2 linked regions of the Schizosaccharomyces pombe genome follow. The protein of the gene in region 2 interacts with the protein of the main gene of each other region in a biochemical or structural test. Each region holds a gene or a part of one and is shown on either strand. Other genes may lie near its edges.

Region 1 (6,261 bases), on a different chromosome or scaffold from region 2:
AATTTCTTCAGTAAATGCAAAATGCAAAATGTTATGATTTACAATCAAATCACATGTCCTAGCAAACCAGTTCTTCCATACATACCAAGGTGCTCTTTTTCATCTTCCGGAACGTCTTTAAATCCAAAATGAGTCATGTGGCTTGAGGTATCAGTATCTTTCGAGCTAGTACTGGTATAGCGACAATTAGACAATCGAGAGCCAGCCAAAGCTGTAGACCTGATTCCTTTCAATCCATCAGCTAAAAATTTAGCAACAGGAGCTCTTAAACGTGACATGATACAGCAGTTTCAAAAACGAATACCAAGTGTAACGGTTTTGTTTATGGATAGTGCTAGGTAGAAACTCACGATTTGAAGGGAATCTGATGCTACCTATATACCGCAATACACTAACATACGCAATTTCCGATGGTAAAGCAAAGGTAAATTAAATATATGGGAAATGATAAGAAAATTGAATAAATATTATGAATCATAAATAAATAAAAGTTCAAAGGCTCAAGATTCTGGAAAGAAAACGCTTGCGACCTTGGCGGAAAGTGCTGGCCCTATTGTTTGAAAACCATAGCCTTGACAAGTCTTATTCAGTAATAAGTTTCTTTCCTGGCTAGATGATGACTTTTCGTACGCCTCAAATAAATGCATGAATGTTGGATATTTCTTCTGAATCTCGATGGCTTTTGAAGCACTTATACCTTTTATAGTCATAAGCATTCGAATAAAAATATCCCCCACGGTCAAAGTAGAAGACTTCGAGAGGACAGAGGAAAATGCATGGTATGATATGTGGTAAGGAGTTGAGGGATCAATTTTTAGAAGTTGCTCTCGTAACGACTCATAAGTTTTGGCTTCTATCGACAAATCGGGAATGACAGCGAGGGTTTTACGTTTCTCATAAAACAGGTTAATTTGCTTTGTCATTTCAGCAAGCAAACTTACGCTGTGTTCAAGTGATCGCGTATGACGGACATGAAATAATTGATCGACTTGGGTATTGCTAACAGCTGTACGAATTGATTCCGTGAAACTTTCATCATAAGAGGATTCCTCCAAAATGTAGGTGACTGAACGTATTCCGCTCTTCTTTAGACGTGCCTTTTGTTCGTGAAATCTTCCGTCCTTAATGGAAGCAACTAAATCATCATATCTTTTCCTTTCAACGACAAAATCCAACACAACTTCTTGACCGCTTTCCATATCCCTTGCAACCCATAAAGCATCTCCCAATTCTAATGATCGTACCTGACAATTGACACCAAAGTCATTAGTCAGTTTATCGATAATAAGATTGCGATCCAAGGGAGAACGTATTTCTCGAGTATCAATCAGAAGAAAAACCGTACAGTTTGAGAATAATACCGTCTCGATTTTTAAGTTAGACAAATTGCTTTCATTTGGTTGCTTTTTTTCTTGTTCCGTCAAGTCAATCAACTGCTCATTGTTAATGATATGGTGATCATGAATTCCGGTCAACGAATCCACCTGATCAACATCTATATCGGTTTCAACACCATCAGAAACTTCATTATGATCTACCGGACAGTAAGTAACATGTAGTTCACCTCCGTGGTCTGAAGAACTTCCTGCTTTATTGATTGATGTAACAAAATTTGGAGGTTGGCATAAAGAGGAATCATGATCATCGGATTTAGAGACAGAAAAGTTTGATACAGTATGTTTCCGTTGAAAGGAATCGTCTACTTTTGCCAAACGTATGCAAACTTCTTCACCATCGTCGGTCAAGCAGTACTTAGAGGGATGACCTGTCTGGTAAACTAAATTTTTTGTGATCAAAGTCTTCATAGCACTCCATGCAGTATAACGCATGTTTCGGTCTGTAGCAGATCCAAAGGACGAATCACAATACGGTTGGGCCATCGTAACAATTTGAGGCTTTGTAGCGAATTCGTGTTTATTAAGCATATAAAGAGCGCAAAGAATTGAATATGCACCAGAACGATAGCTCGGAACATAGACCTTTCTCTTTCTTGTAGTCGGTTTTTTAACGCTTCGAGGCTTTTCAGAAGAAGTCTCAGAAGACGATTTATTAGCATTGACATGAGAATCATTCTGTTCATTGTGCGTGCTAATTGGAATATTATTTTCCAAACAGTAAGCGTTCCATTTCTTTTCTAGCTTGGCACAAATCGTAGGGCCAATTCCCTTCAGTGCCAATGCCTGAGAAGGACGATGAAATGTGATGGGGCAACTTTTCATTGAATCGTAGGCCTAATTATTAGCACGGTTTCTTATTTAAAACAACAACAACAGTGATTGTTATGATATTTATGGAGTACGAAGCTATAAAAGCTTTCGAAAAATTACAGTCATTATTAATTTAATATTTAAATTATTTATTTTTCAAAGAGTTTTTCACTAATCCAATAAATTTCCTACCTTTCTCCAGGTTTGATATGACTTGGGGAAGCGACGCGTCGACTCTTCCATCCACTCCTGTATCCATTGTAAAAACAGCGGATTTCCACAATCCATGGATCCGAAAAACAAAGAAAAAAACTATTTCATTCAAATTATCGATTGTCACACGAAACAAAAGTCTAAACAAATGGATGTGGATAGAATGCGATTTCCTAAATTTCGTGTAAAGACATTAGCATGGTTGCCGGGACAACCGAGATTTTATGATCAGTATAAACAAAATAAAGAAAACAATTATAGGTGAACAAAATAAAAAATCATTATCATCATTATAAAACAGTTTCTCGTGTATTAGGGTATATTTTTAGAAAGTTTGTGAAATGATGAAGCTTTAGATCATAATAAAGCCATACTTGGATGATTTTCTGTTTTCCTAAAAGGAAGGGGTTTAAGAAGATCCCTTTTGTTTCTCGAGCTGCTTGGCAGAAGTATATGCTCTTTGGCGTTCCCATAGGACAAATTTGATAGCTGCCATGGTTTTATTGACTGCAAGTACACGCTCATTTGAGGCTTTGGGAATAGTCAACTGTAAGCGTTTCATTTCAGCCCTTTGTGTGAACAATAGGTTCTTCTCTCGGAGACAATTGTACCAAAGTCCATGTAGATCATTAAAAGACTTCCAACGAAGCTCTTCTGCAGCCCATGCTCTACCGAATTTAGCCTCTTCCGATGGTGGTGGAAGGGCTTGCTTGTCCCGAAAGAAATTCCACAAAGGGTGCGTGTCTGAAACCTTAGGAGCACTTTTTACTTTTGGAACAGGAAATACAAAGCCCTTTGGAATACGTACGGCTGCTTTCTGAGCGCTAGCCAACGTGGACCTCATCTTTGGTGGTAAGTAGAAGGTGCGCTGTAACACCCTGACATTGACCGATAATAATGGTTGTAAGTCATACTTTAAAAATAATTATTTTTTATTATACTTCATTGACTTTCTTAATTATTGCTAAATTGAGAAATTGTTCATTTCCTTATTTTATTTTATTTTAAGATTTCATGGCGAGGAAACATTCCAAACGAAAAGTTTATAATGTAAACAGAAAGTGTGTAGGGCGATTTATGTATTTTCCCTAGATTTGTTATCGAGTGAAAAGTTTGAATCCATGAAGGAAATACTAAAGTACTTTGATTTGCAGCTAATACATGGTGTAATGATACATTGCTTTCGACCGCTTATAAATTTATTTCGAGATTAACGGGACGCAACCGTTTAATTAAAAACGGGAAGTAAAGAAATTTTTTTTGTCTATACATTTAGAAAAATTTGTTCAGTTTCATAAAACAGTAGCACATAAATTTTGAGGATCATCGGTGGGGAAAGAGACAGGCACCAATTTAGGTACCTTACGGTTTCGTTGAAAAGTAGGAAGTAAAGAGGGTTGGAGGTGAGGGTATTCTTCGACTGTTGCTATTTGATAGATGCTACCGGAACGGACCAGTTGACCTTTATTTACCATCCAACGAATGGCCTCGGAAGCGCTGTCGTGAAAAGTTGGTAACAATGGTACGTTTTGAGCAAGCCAGTTAAATATTTCATCTTTGGAAGGTGAGAGGGTGTTACGAATAGCTAACCGTATTAACGTTGGATAGTCGTATAAGGTTCCAGAATTCGCAACATAACTTGCGGTATAGGGGACAGGTGCAGGCTCATCAGAGGGAGCTTCATCTTGTTTAGCATGAAGTCGCTCTTGTAAAGATATTTGTTGGCGTTCAGAACTAACAAGTAGTTGATGCCGAATCTCACCCAACAACTCCCGAGTACGTGGGTTGTATATGGGAAGAGATGGATAAGACTTTTCACAAAAAAGAATAAGATCTGCGAGATGAGGAGTAGGTAAACTTGATAGATACATTTTTTTGTCTGATTCACTTAACCCAAGATCTTGTGCCGTCATTCCCGTTTCTAAAGGTTGCTTGGCACGCCTGTACTGGCATTTCATACAAAACCATTCAGCATCCACATCCTGAACGGTTGCATCGTCAATCGGAGGGTGATGGCAAAGCTGATGATATGGAGAATTGCATCCATCACAAAATACGATTCGATTAGATAAAGGAGAATGTCCTCGTTGACAGACGCTACACAAGGTGACCATATCGACCTTGCGACTTTTCCGTTTCAATGCGGTGGCATTAGGATTGTATGCGACTGGCCGCTGAATCTTTCTACCCGATTTTGTTTTCATTCCTTCCACGTGAAAGTCTTCCTGTAAATCATCCTCGGCACCTTCTGCAACATCGAGATCGTAAAATGGTATACGATTATCGTCTTCCCGACGAGACGATCGAATGCGTCCATTCTTAGTCTTGGTTGATGCAGACTTGGGCAAGCGATTGAATGATACAGACAAAGAAGGATCTTGCTCCGGTGGTACTGAAGTAGCGCCTGAAGAGGAAGATGCAGGCATAGTCATACCGCCATACGGTGTCTGTACATGCTGCTGCAGTTGATGGAAATCAGCGCCAAATGGTCCAACATCGGAAATTCCAGAACCCGATGCGACAGGGGAAGCATCAAAATTCGAGCTGTCCGTTTCTCTAACTACACCTTGAGCCGATACCTGAGGAAGGGATGAATCAGCACCATTTTCAAAATGGAAACCGGCATAGTCATTTACACCATAGCTCTTTCCTTCGTCGAAAAAATTCTTTTGAGACATTGTAAAAAACGAGGACTAATAAATATGAGTAATTTGGAAAATTTTGATTTAAAACGAAATGCACAATTAGATGAAACTAGCAAACATGAAACGCAAATTAAAATGATGATACACGCAATTGTCACGCAGTGAATGTTAATTCAAAATATCTGAGACCATAGAATAACTTTATGTAAAAAGTAAATCTTCCTAAATCTCAATTCATTGATGTAAATTCGCCATTCAACGAAAGATGAGTTTAACACGCGCGTCTCAAGAAGAAGGTATGCATAGGCCATATAAAACTGGCATCGTTTTACAGAGCCAGCCTTACATTACGGTAACAACATAAGCAACAAGACATTTTCATTCGTTAAAATGCACAAAGCACATCGTATAAGACACGTTAATCATCACTAATCTAGCTTCTCGGCATAAAAAAATTTTAAAGTAAAACGCACAATAGCCTATGTAAGCGGTCCAATAAGTAGTAAGTTGATAACTTTAATTAGTAAAGAGGGCGAATCAAAAGCTTTATATATATCTAAACTTTACTAAATTGGCCAATCAGCAATGCGTTTTGAATCAACAAAATGAGGTATGACAAAGAGAATTTCTTGCTCTACATCCCGGCAGTCTTTTGTTCGTCTACCAAACAACAAGGAAAAGGCATTTTGGGCATACATATGCCAAACTTGTGATCCTTCACAGTACAAATTGCTCAAAGATGCCTGTCTTTATGTTTGATGAGCACGACAATTTGAATGAGAATTACAATTCCCATTTGTCTAGTGACGATGAGATTGCAGAGGAGGGATATGATTTTGAAGAATTGGAGGCATCTGCGTCGACAATCACTTCGTCAAGTGATTTGAAGGATGGAAAGAATGCCAAAGATGAAAAGGGGACGGTAGAGTTTAAGGTTGCTGCCCATGGTGATTTTATTTCTTCCAAGGGTGACAACTATGTACCAAGCGGAAAGATGCGTCCAGCAGACTTTCAACCCTTAACGGTATTGGGTCGTGGCTCTTACGGAAAGGTGCTCCTAGTGAAGCAAAAAAATACTGGACGACTGTTTGCTCAGAAACAGCTAAAGAAAGCTAGCATTGTTCTTCGTGCCAAGGGCCTCGAACAAACCAAAAATGAGCGACAGATATTAGAAGAGGTTCGACATCCGTTCATTT
Region 2 (9,790 bases):
AATCGTTATTATCGTTAACGAAGCGTACGACGACCAAAGTAGTGGTATTCTACCACGTATTTGAACTTGGCCTTAGCCAAATAGTAGTTTATGAACGATTGGATTACTCCATTAATTTCGATCTCTCTCAAATTCCTGAATCCCAGTCCTCTTTATTATGAAGTTTGGTGAAAGGTAGGTCGACATATTTTACACATTTTAGAATGTTGTTTAGACCTTCAAATAGCCGTTAAAGAATGCAATATTTGCAAAAAGTTTATTATGGTTAAGGCTTTTAATGTCTTGAATGTAACGGTTATGTTTGAGGATACGCATTTGTGTTGAATAGGAGTACGGGATTAATTAAGATGATCTGCCAGTAAACTCCTTTCCCTTCATTCTCATCATTTGCAACCGTATGACTAACCATTGTTTAAACTTTTCTTTTTCTTAGTTTATAATTGTTGGTTTGCTTTAGTCATTGTCTGCTAACCGACAGTCTTCAATTGGCGTTGATCCCGGAGTTTGCAGAACAGTATGTTGATTATAATGGAATAAAGCGAAAGATTCAACTGGTTGCTGCGCTTCCCGAGGATGAACGGAAGAAATTATTGAGGCGTAATAGTGACGGATCATGGCCAAAGGGATCGATCGACGAAATGTTGGAAAACGATCTTCAGAAGGTTGTTAACTTGTTCAATACTCGCATTGTCCAGCTTGATAATTATGTCACTCGTTTGTCTACGGAGAAATCTCCCAATACTGAAATTACACAGGCACTGTCTTCATCTTACGAAGCTGAAGAAAAGGCGAAGCAACTGAAAGAGCTAGACTTTCGTCTTCAACAATTATCATCCTTTTGTGAATGGAATAAGCTGGCCTTTGAAAAGCTAGCTGCCAATATGGATAAGCACCTTGGTACGGAGCGCTTGGTTACATTTTATGAGCAGAAGGTGTGTAAGCTTGATTTTGCGAATTCGTCCAAGATCTATGAGTCCATGATTGCCCTGAAGGCTTTGAATTCTTCTCAAAACGATAGTGAAGTGAAAGACAAGTTGGAAAAATTGTCAATTCACCATCCCTTGAAGAAGGATCTTTTAGCTTTTATTCAACTGGATATTGCCGCAGAGGTCGTGACCGCTTGTATAAATGCACCTGATAGTGTACTCGTAGATATACTGGCTGCCTCCATCATTGCGGGAGCCAAAGCTTGTATGCGTGAAGTTATAGGAAGAATTGGTTTACGTTCTGAGTGCCTGGCTTCTGCATTACGTCGTGCAATTAACAACCTCTGTGGTCCTGACGAAGGAGTTTTATATTTTTTGGAGGTGTTGAAACAAATTTGTTCAGTGGTTTATGTGGATTCATACCATTCTAATCGTTTACTTTCAAGGATTCTTCTTGTAGAACGAAATAGCAAGGGACAGAGTGTGATGCACTCTGTTGCGAAACTCGGTTGGGCAGGATTGTGCAGTAAGTTTTGTGAAATTGTTTCATCAATCCCTGACTCTGAGCCATTGAATTGGATGCTTCCATGTTGGCGCGATGTAATGCACGACACTCCCTTGACTTTGGCTATTAAGGGAAATCATGTTGAAGCTCTTCATGCTTTGCTTTCTGCTCAGGATAAGGAAACAACCTCTACCAAGCCGGGACCCGTTCCTCCTTTGGTCTTGACTTGCTGTGTAGGCGATTACGATTTGATCGTAGAAGAACTCATCCTTGCAGGATTCAATCCTAACGAAGTTGATGCTAGTAGCAATACAGCTTTACACACCGCTGTTCGTTATAACAGGCCGGAATGTGTTAAAATGTTACTCAAACTTGGAGCAAACCCTAGCGCAAGGGATTTTTTGAATTCATGGACTCCTTTGATGCTTGCATCAGCTACTGGACTTTCCGAAATTGTTTCAATTTTAGTTGCCTCGGGCGCTTCGGTTGACGAAGTTGATTCTTCAGGTTGGACTGCTATGGAACAAGCTGTGGTTCGGGGGTATTTACACCTAGCAGATAAACTTAGAACTCAAGTCGCCTTGAGTGATAAGCCTGTTAATTTACATACACTTTATATCAAAGCCTCAAGTTCCGAAATGAGGAGCAGAAAACGTGCCATGGATTTACAATTATCTCGTTCAGTGGTCATTATTCGAATCAGTGATTTGGCCGGTAGAATCCGCGTTAGTCTTCAAGGTGATGATGCTGTGTATGTTTCAGGGCGGTCTCCATCTTTTGCCGCAAGTAGACCATCTTCAGTAGATTTCATGTCTCAATCTACTGACTCGTTGAGTAAAAACGACACTACTGCTTCTAATGGCTCTATGACACCATCTTCTAGCCAAAACAACTCAGTGATTATTGATATCCCTCGCTCCCATTTTGATAATGCCGGTGAAGTTTGCTTAGAGAATTTGGCGGAGCCTGATGAAATTGCCGACGACTCTATTCATTTGCATTATGATGCCGCACAAGAAAATAGTCCGCAACCTGTAAACGGGTCTTCTCCACCGTATGAATTGGTTTTCGTTACAAGAAATACAGAAGAAGCAACTATTACAATTGATTTGTTAGCAAATCGATCCCATAAAATATTAGGGAGAACTGTATGTTGCTTGACTTCTCTGGTATCTGATTTGGGGAATCATATGCAGTCGTTGAAACCTTTGGCACCCTTACCATTACTTTCGAGTAAAACTCTTAAACCAATAGCTCATGTTAATGCGGATGTTCTTATTTCTAAGGTGACAGTTGATGATAGATTTTCGTCAAATGATGGCATAAGTACCCCTGCCTTATCGCTGGAAGCAGTTTCCAACGTAAGTCGCACTGCATTGGAAGACGCTGAGCGTTCTTTACACAAATCTGCCACAACTACATCAGAATCAGGGAAATCGAATGGTGTTGCGGTTATCGGACATCGTGGACTTGGTAAGAATCAGCCTGATCGTTTGAGTCTTCAACTTGGCGAGAACACTTTACAATCGTTTATAAAAGCGGCAGATCTTGGTGCTTCTTACGTTGAATTAGATGTGCAAATGACTAAAGACATGGTCCCAGTGGTATACCATGATTTTATCGTAAACGAAACCGGAACGGATGCACAAGTGCATTCGCTGACTTTGGAGCAATTCTTAGGGGCTTCCCACTCTCCTTCAGAAGAAATTAAAGATGATGCAAGTGACATTCAGCAGAAGAGACGTCCTAGGGCCTACAGTTCCTCATTTACACCTTCAGGATCACAGGTTAATTTCGGTGAATTTGCTGAAGAAAACGCACGTTTGAAGCCTAAAGTATATAAGGGTAATGCCCTTGGTCATACGATTTGTGCACCGTTCACAACTTTAAAGGATGTTTTGAAGGAAGTTCCACAATCCGTAGGACTTAATGTGGAATTTAAGTACCCCATGCTAAGTGAAGCTGAGGAAGAGAAATTGCTCCCTATAGCTTATGATTATAACTTTTACGTGGATACCATTCTATCGATAATCAAAAAGTATGGTGGTAAAAGAAAGTATATTTTCTCTAGTTTTAATCCTGATATATGCATCTTACTTTCTTTGAAATCGACTAATCCTGTTCTTTTTTTGACTGAAGGAGGTACCGCTTACCGAACAGACGTTCGTGCAGCATCGCTTAGACAAGCTTTAAAGTTTGCCTCACAGTGGAGTTTTCTGGGTATCGTTAGTGCTTGTGAACCGCTCATTATGTGCCCGAGGCTGATCAAGGCAGTTAAACAATTGGGTTTATCTTGCTACACCTATGGTGTTCTCAATAATGATGTTGACAATGTCCGACGCCAAGTACGTTTTGGAGTTGATGCTGTCATTGTAGACAATGTGTTAGCCATTAGACGTGCCTTGAACCAGTACGATGAAAGTTTGGAATCTGATTGATCTAGAAAGTTTGAACGAATACTACCGACGATATAGAAGATGAGGTGCTTTAGTTAGAAACCGATATTAGTTAATTTTTAGTTAGAAGAAAGTATATCATAAGAAAATTTCATAGATAGAAAAAAAAAGGAAAAAATATCATGATAACAATTAATGAAATACAAATAATGACCGATCACTATGGTGCATCACTGGATGCTTCTTTACATAAGAAAGTGTTATATATACGGCGCGATAAAACCGGACCTAAATTTCGTTCACTAATACTAGATTGGATGACAACGTTGGTTAATGATTCCTCGCCGTGAGTTTTTAGATGATGAATTAAAGATGGTATACTGTCAAATTGATCGCATATGGCGTTAGCAATGTTAGGTGTAACTCGTAGTATTTGCCGCAACATAAAATTTAGAGAGTTTTCAATTCTATCGGCGGATTTGACATGTCCTATTTCGGTAGTAGAGGCTCTAGCTGAAAATTTAGAAAAGTGCTTGTAACGAGATAAAGCTATGTCGCCGGTAAAGGAAACTATCCATTGAGCGGTTTCTTTTTCGTCATTTGAAGTGTTTATAAGAATACTATGTTCGAAACTGAAGCGGACGATTTCACTCTCTAACTTTTCTTTAGTAAAGTTTTGATATTTTGATAAAGAACCAAATAACAAAGGTCTGGTACCGCTATTAACAGCTGCTGCATATTGACGATTTAATTCTGCTTTCAGAGATTTAAAATAGTTTGGGATGCCTTCCAGCAACAGTATTAGCTTACAGCCTTTAAACTTTTCAGACATTTCATGAAAAAAAGTATCAGCTTGGTCCTCTTCGATGTATTTTATAAAATCCCGGCATTTCAACCGTAGTAGGGCAAAAGGTTCGATTTGTTCATGCTCTATGCTAAGTTCAAACCGGTTGGTAGAAGAATTAAACACATTGTTTACCTTCCTTTTCCACATAATTGAGTCTTTTGGTTGATTTGAATTGACAACGAATTGGCAGTTGTATGAATCTAATTGAGAGCGAACAGTTGAATACCAAGATGAAGCCCAATCATCCGGCGATAAAAGAATTATCTCAGATAGGCATTCTTCTTTGGTTCTCTTAACTTTGTTAATTTTTTGAAGTTCCTTTGAATTCTTTCTGTCCAATTCTTTCGCCATCTTTCTATTCAAGCTGTCAACCTTATCTAAAGTTTTTGATTTTTTCAAAGAATCTTCGTAACGTTTCCTCTTACGTTGTGTATTAGAGTCTAGCTCGTACGGTTCCAAGCTCCTAGAGCATAATTTTCTCATTTTTTTTAATTTATCCAAATTTTTTTTATTTGAATTTGAAGTAGAGGCAGGAGGCGTATCGGTAGTCCTTGAAATTTTGGGTAGTCTCATTTTTTTAAAAGCTCTACTTTGAATGGAAAGTTTGTTTAGAGAAGGAAGTTCTTGAAAACTATCTTCCTGACTAGTATTGGGTTCAATTGAAGAATGCTTGGATGGAGAGGTCGGGCTATCTAAGTGCACATCAGATGTGAGATTGAAAGTTCTTTCTTGATTTTCTACGGAGGTTTTGGAACGGTTATTGATGAGGTCGATTGTATTGGAGCTGTCTTGGTTAGGAAATAAATTAGGCGTAGAAGGGGCATGTGATAATCGATTAGAAGTAGGACTAGCGATGGATGGCATGCATGGCTTTAGTATAGAGGATGAGGATGTTAGTGCATCGTTGAAAGATTTTGTTTTTGTTAGCGGACTCTGGGTAAATGGGAAATGATCGTCATCATTCGTGTCCAGTAGTATATCGTGAAGGGAGTGGGATTTTTGAAGGACTGTGGAGAGCGGCGGGGAGGACTGGAAATCTTTTAAGGGTGAAGAAGTCAAAGAAGCAGCTTTTTTAGATAAAGGGGAAGCCACTTGTTCATTGTCGTCGGGAATAACGATGGGAGAGGAGGTTTTCGATGACAATTGTGTAGTCCTAGGAATGGTGGGAGTATGGAATAAATGAAATTCTTGGTGTTTTGGTTGCGAGGAAAGGGAATTAGGGGGAGAAGAGTTTAAATTAATGATTTCGACGCGTGAAGAAGGATTTAAATTCGTGTTTGTTGACTGGTTTGAAGAAGTTAAAGAGAGCAAAAGATTATCGGTAACCGACTTTTTATTAGTGATATTAAGGGCATCACGGGGACTAGGGAGAACATCTTCGGAGCCGGAAACTAAAGGAGTACTGACCCCAAATGAACGATTAGCGAGATGTGGAAGAAAAGTGTGGAAAGGAAGGAAATGCTGGCAACAATATTTGTCAACTTACCTGAAACTTTTTAGCAAACTATCGCATTGAGTAGATCTTTGAGGAGTATCAAGAACAGTTATAACATTGTGTTCTGACAAAGCAATATTGTCCTAAAAAGAGGGTTAAAAAAAAAGCGAACAGAAAGAAAGGGAAATACGCGACAAACCTTGGAAGGAGAAGCTTGTGAGCTTGAAATGTCAACATCAGCTTCAGAATCGATCACAATAGCGGAATCTGTAGACTGCAGAGTCATTCAATGCATGTGTAGTGTTTGTTTTCCGAACAATAGAGGGTTTGGTGGTTAGGACAGGTAGGGCAAAGTGTACACAAGGAGCCGGCAGGGAACGAGAGTTGGTGACAGAAATAGAGCGAAAAGAAATGAGAAAAAAAAAAAAAAGTTTGAAGTAAAAAATTTAGATAGGAATGGTATTAAAGAGTTTGAATAATTAAAAAGATTGGAGGTTTGCGTGGATGTTTGAGGATATTTGGTATGGAAAGTATAGAGAGTAGTAGGTTTGTTTACATATAAGTATATATAGGTTAGGTGAGAGATGGGTAAAAAATGGAGAAGAGAAATGGATGCAGGAGGAGTTTAGATAAGATGAATAGTATAAAAAAAGGAAAATATTTATTCTTTTAGAAGTAGTTGAAAGGATGTCGTTTTGTGTTTGAGAATTGAAGATTATTGAAATCAATGAGTGGGATGGGTGAGTATTTCTTTTGCAAATACTGTGGTTTAGTGTGTCATTTTGAAAGAATTTTAGGTAGAAGGGCGATACGGTATTTAGGGACTTTGGTAGTACGTTAGAAAGTGTAAAAAGATTGAATAAAATAAAAATTTCAAAGAAAAGAAAATCAATTAATTTAACCAAAATTAAAATAAATTCAATTCAAATTCAATAGAATAAAATACTCTAATATTTAAAGCTCAATAGTATAAAAATAAAAATAAAAATGTACTAGAGTTTCTTTTTCATTAGTCTGTTTCATCAATGATGGTAAACAAAAAAATAAAATAAAATAAAATAAAACAAAATAAAAATGAAAATGAAAATGAAAAATCCTTTGATGCAATGTTTCCAAATGGGTTTATGCTTACTTTTTTTTTGTATTCTTTAATTGATCAACGATACAATGAATGATGAGTAAAAACTTTTTTTGTTTTTACCATGAATACATTGTTTTTCTTTTTTTTTCGGGGGGGGGGGGGGGGGGGCTTTTTTTTCCTTACTCTTCTTTGTCTCTTTTTAAAATTTTCTTTTTCTATTTAATTTAATTTTACTTTTCATTGCAAAATCAATTCTACTTATTAGTTCGCAGTTTAAAACATTTTTTCATTGCGATCTGTGAATTTTGCAACCAAACAAAGAAAGCAGAAAGGCAAGGGTGTAGAGTATAGTAGAGCAGATCAAAGCAAAGCAAAGTAAAGAGAGAGAGAAACCAATATTCGCAAACTGAAATTTCTCCTTTTTTAAGAGGACCAACGAGTTGTGCGAAATTTCCAAATTATTCATAGTAAATTCAACTGCATTATACAAGTATAATCAATACACACTACTATCTTTTATCATTCTTCACTAAACAATCATTAGTAGAGTACGAAAGTCATCGCTACATTTTACTTGTGACCAAGCCAAACCTTTTTTCCTTATAGTCAAGACAGTGTGTATCAAGGCAGCGTATGTGAATAGCAACAGCGTATGTATATGTGTGTGTATCATTGTTCGCTATAGCTTTTTTCTCTTAGTGTCAACGTGTGAGTGTGATAAGTTGTATTTTTACAACGGAAATCCTTTAAATAGACTCTTATACATGTTGATCCAGCAATAAGCCAAAAAAAGTGCAATACGTCAAAAATCGTAGTATTCGGCAAAACAATTGCATTCAGTATGTTTTGATTCTTAAGAGAAAATCTCTTTTTTTCTTTTTTTTTTTTTTTTAATTATAATTCTTGTTTCCTTTCTCGCCTCTCCTCTCTTCTCTCTTTTATCTTTTTCTCTTTTCACCCTATACTCCTTTTGCTACCACGACCATTGTTGCTTCGGTTACGCAGAGTTTATTTTCTTCGGATAGCAGGCGCACCTTTATCTTAACTCCGGGTTTAGTAGCCGGGAGGAATGGGAGAGATGGACGATCAGAGCTCCATCTAAAAAAGTAAAATGCAGCGTCCGATGGGCCGGAAGCGTTGCAGGTCTTTTCGTACGGAAGCATGAACACAGGAGATGAAGGAACATGAGCAAAAAACGAATGTAGACAAAGACAGCGATTCAAATAGAAATTGTATTTGCTATTACTATTACTATTTAACAGTTCTTTACTAAACTATCGCTATTTTATTGTTATCGCTATTGTCATTGTCATTGCTATACTGCTCTTTGTCTACTGGGGGCATCAAGGATCCTAACCCCCATTCTTCAAATCTCTGTCTGGGCTAGGGCAGGCACCAATAACTAGGATAAAGACTAAGACTAAGACTAAGACCAGATAATCCATCGAAGGATATAGCGTTGTATAGTGTGGTGTAATGCAATACGATGGATTCCAAGCTATCAGTCGGATCAAAGTTTTAGATGAGAGGAAGCGATGAAAAGAAAAGAAGAAAGAGAAGGAGAAAGAGAAAAACAAAAAGAAAAAGAAAAAGAAAATAAAATAAAACAAAAACAAAATAAACAAAATAATCCTTCTTACAACATCTTGAAATATTCTTTTGCACTCAGACAAATTTCTTTTACTTATCTTTTATTGGAATTATTTACTGAACATGTCTGATGCTCCCTGGTTTCTTGTCATTCATTACTGCATTTCTATACTATTCTATTCTATTGATCTTTCTTTTTCTCCCATTTTAAATGTTATTATACAATGCTTTTCTTCAATTTACTTTTTTTCTTCTCTTTCATTTTTTCTTTCTCTTCCTTTTTTCTCTTCTCTTGCTGCGTTTCTCTGTTTACTTTTGCGCTCGCCTGCTGCTTCTGCCTCGTCTCCCCTCTGAGTCACATGTCACCCGATCCAAAGTTGAAATTTGCATTGTAGCGGCTTTTGCACGCTGCTTTTCCGAGGATCAGGGCTATCGAGCCTGAACCAACATGGTCGGATTGATTGGCCCGTGGAAAATATTGACTCTTTCGTGATTGGTGGGCTAACGTAATTGATTATCTTGATCGTATCCATACAAAAGCGCAACAAATCCTCCTCAAAAAACCTTTTCTTAGTCAGTCTCCTTTCGCCAGCAAGCAAAAACAAACAGCAAGCTAAGCAGAGCAGTATAGAGCAAAGCAAAGCAAGTAGAGCAGAGCAGAGCAGTATAGAGCAACTAAAAGAAAAGTTGGTGATCCCCTTAGTACTTGAATTCCATTGTGTATTCATTCATCCTCTTCTTTTCTTTTTTTCCTTTCCTCTTTTTCTCTTTCTCTTCCTTTAAAAATTCTTTTCAGCAATTGAAAAGAATCCCCTCTCTTTATACCGTACGCGCACGTTAGTTGGCTATTTCTTTTCTCTTTTTTTTTTTTTTTTATAAAAAAAATAGGAGATCTTTTTTTCGTGCACGCTTCTGGCTGTTTCCCTTTTTTTTTCCTCGCAATATCGGGACGTTTTTGGTTGTTTATTTAATCTAATCTATTGTTTTTATTATACATAACGGTCCTTTAT

Evidence for each region. Proteins that work in one complex are often made in the same cells at the same time.
Region 1: the proteins of eme1 (region 2) and mus81 form a complex in vitro, tested with the Schizosaccharomyces pombe proteins (one study listed by BioGRID).

The regions. Positions count from the first base shown.
Region 1 is NC_003421.2:458,954-465,214, reverse strand, and holds mus81 (Holliday junction resolvase subunit Mus81), read right to left. Parts: upstream 2,496-6,261; coding exon 2,400-2,495; exon of another isoform or gene 2,391-2,399; intron 2,234-2,390; exon of another isoform or gene 2,232-2,233; coding exon 501-2,231; downstream 1-500. Other genes in the region: coq5 (C-methytransferase), read right to left, coding at 86-278; mrpl4 (mitochondrial 54S ribosomal protein uL29m), read right to left, coding at 2,830-3,264; PHD finger domain-containing protein Phf1, read right to left, coding at 3,713-5,098; serine/threonine protein kinase S6K family Psk1, read left to right, coding at 5,805-6,261.
Region 2 is NC_003424.3:3,293,473-3,303,262, forward strand, and holds eme1 (Holliday junction resolvase subunit Eme1), read right to left. Parts: upstream 6,442-9,790; 5' UTR 6,396-6,441; coding exon 6,309-6,395; exon of another isoform or gene 6,253-6,308; coding exon 6,161-6,252; exon of another isoform or gene 6,077-6,160; coding exon 4,048-6,076; 3' UTR 3,870-4,047; downstream 1-3,869. Other genes in the region: glycerophosphoryl diester phosphodiesterase Gde1, read left to right, coding at 158-174, 479-3,869. UniProt on the Schizosaccharomyces pombe protein: Interacts with mus81 to form a DNA structure-specific endonuclease with substrate preference for branched DNA structures with a 5'-end at the branch nick. Typical substrates include 3'-flap structures, D-loops, replication forks and nicked Holliday junctions.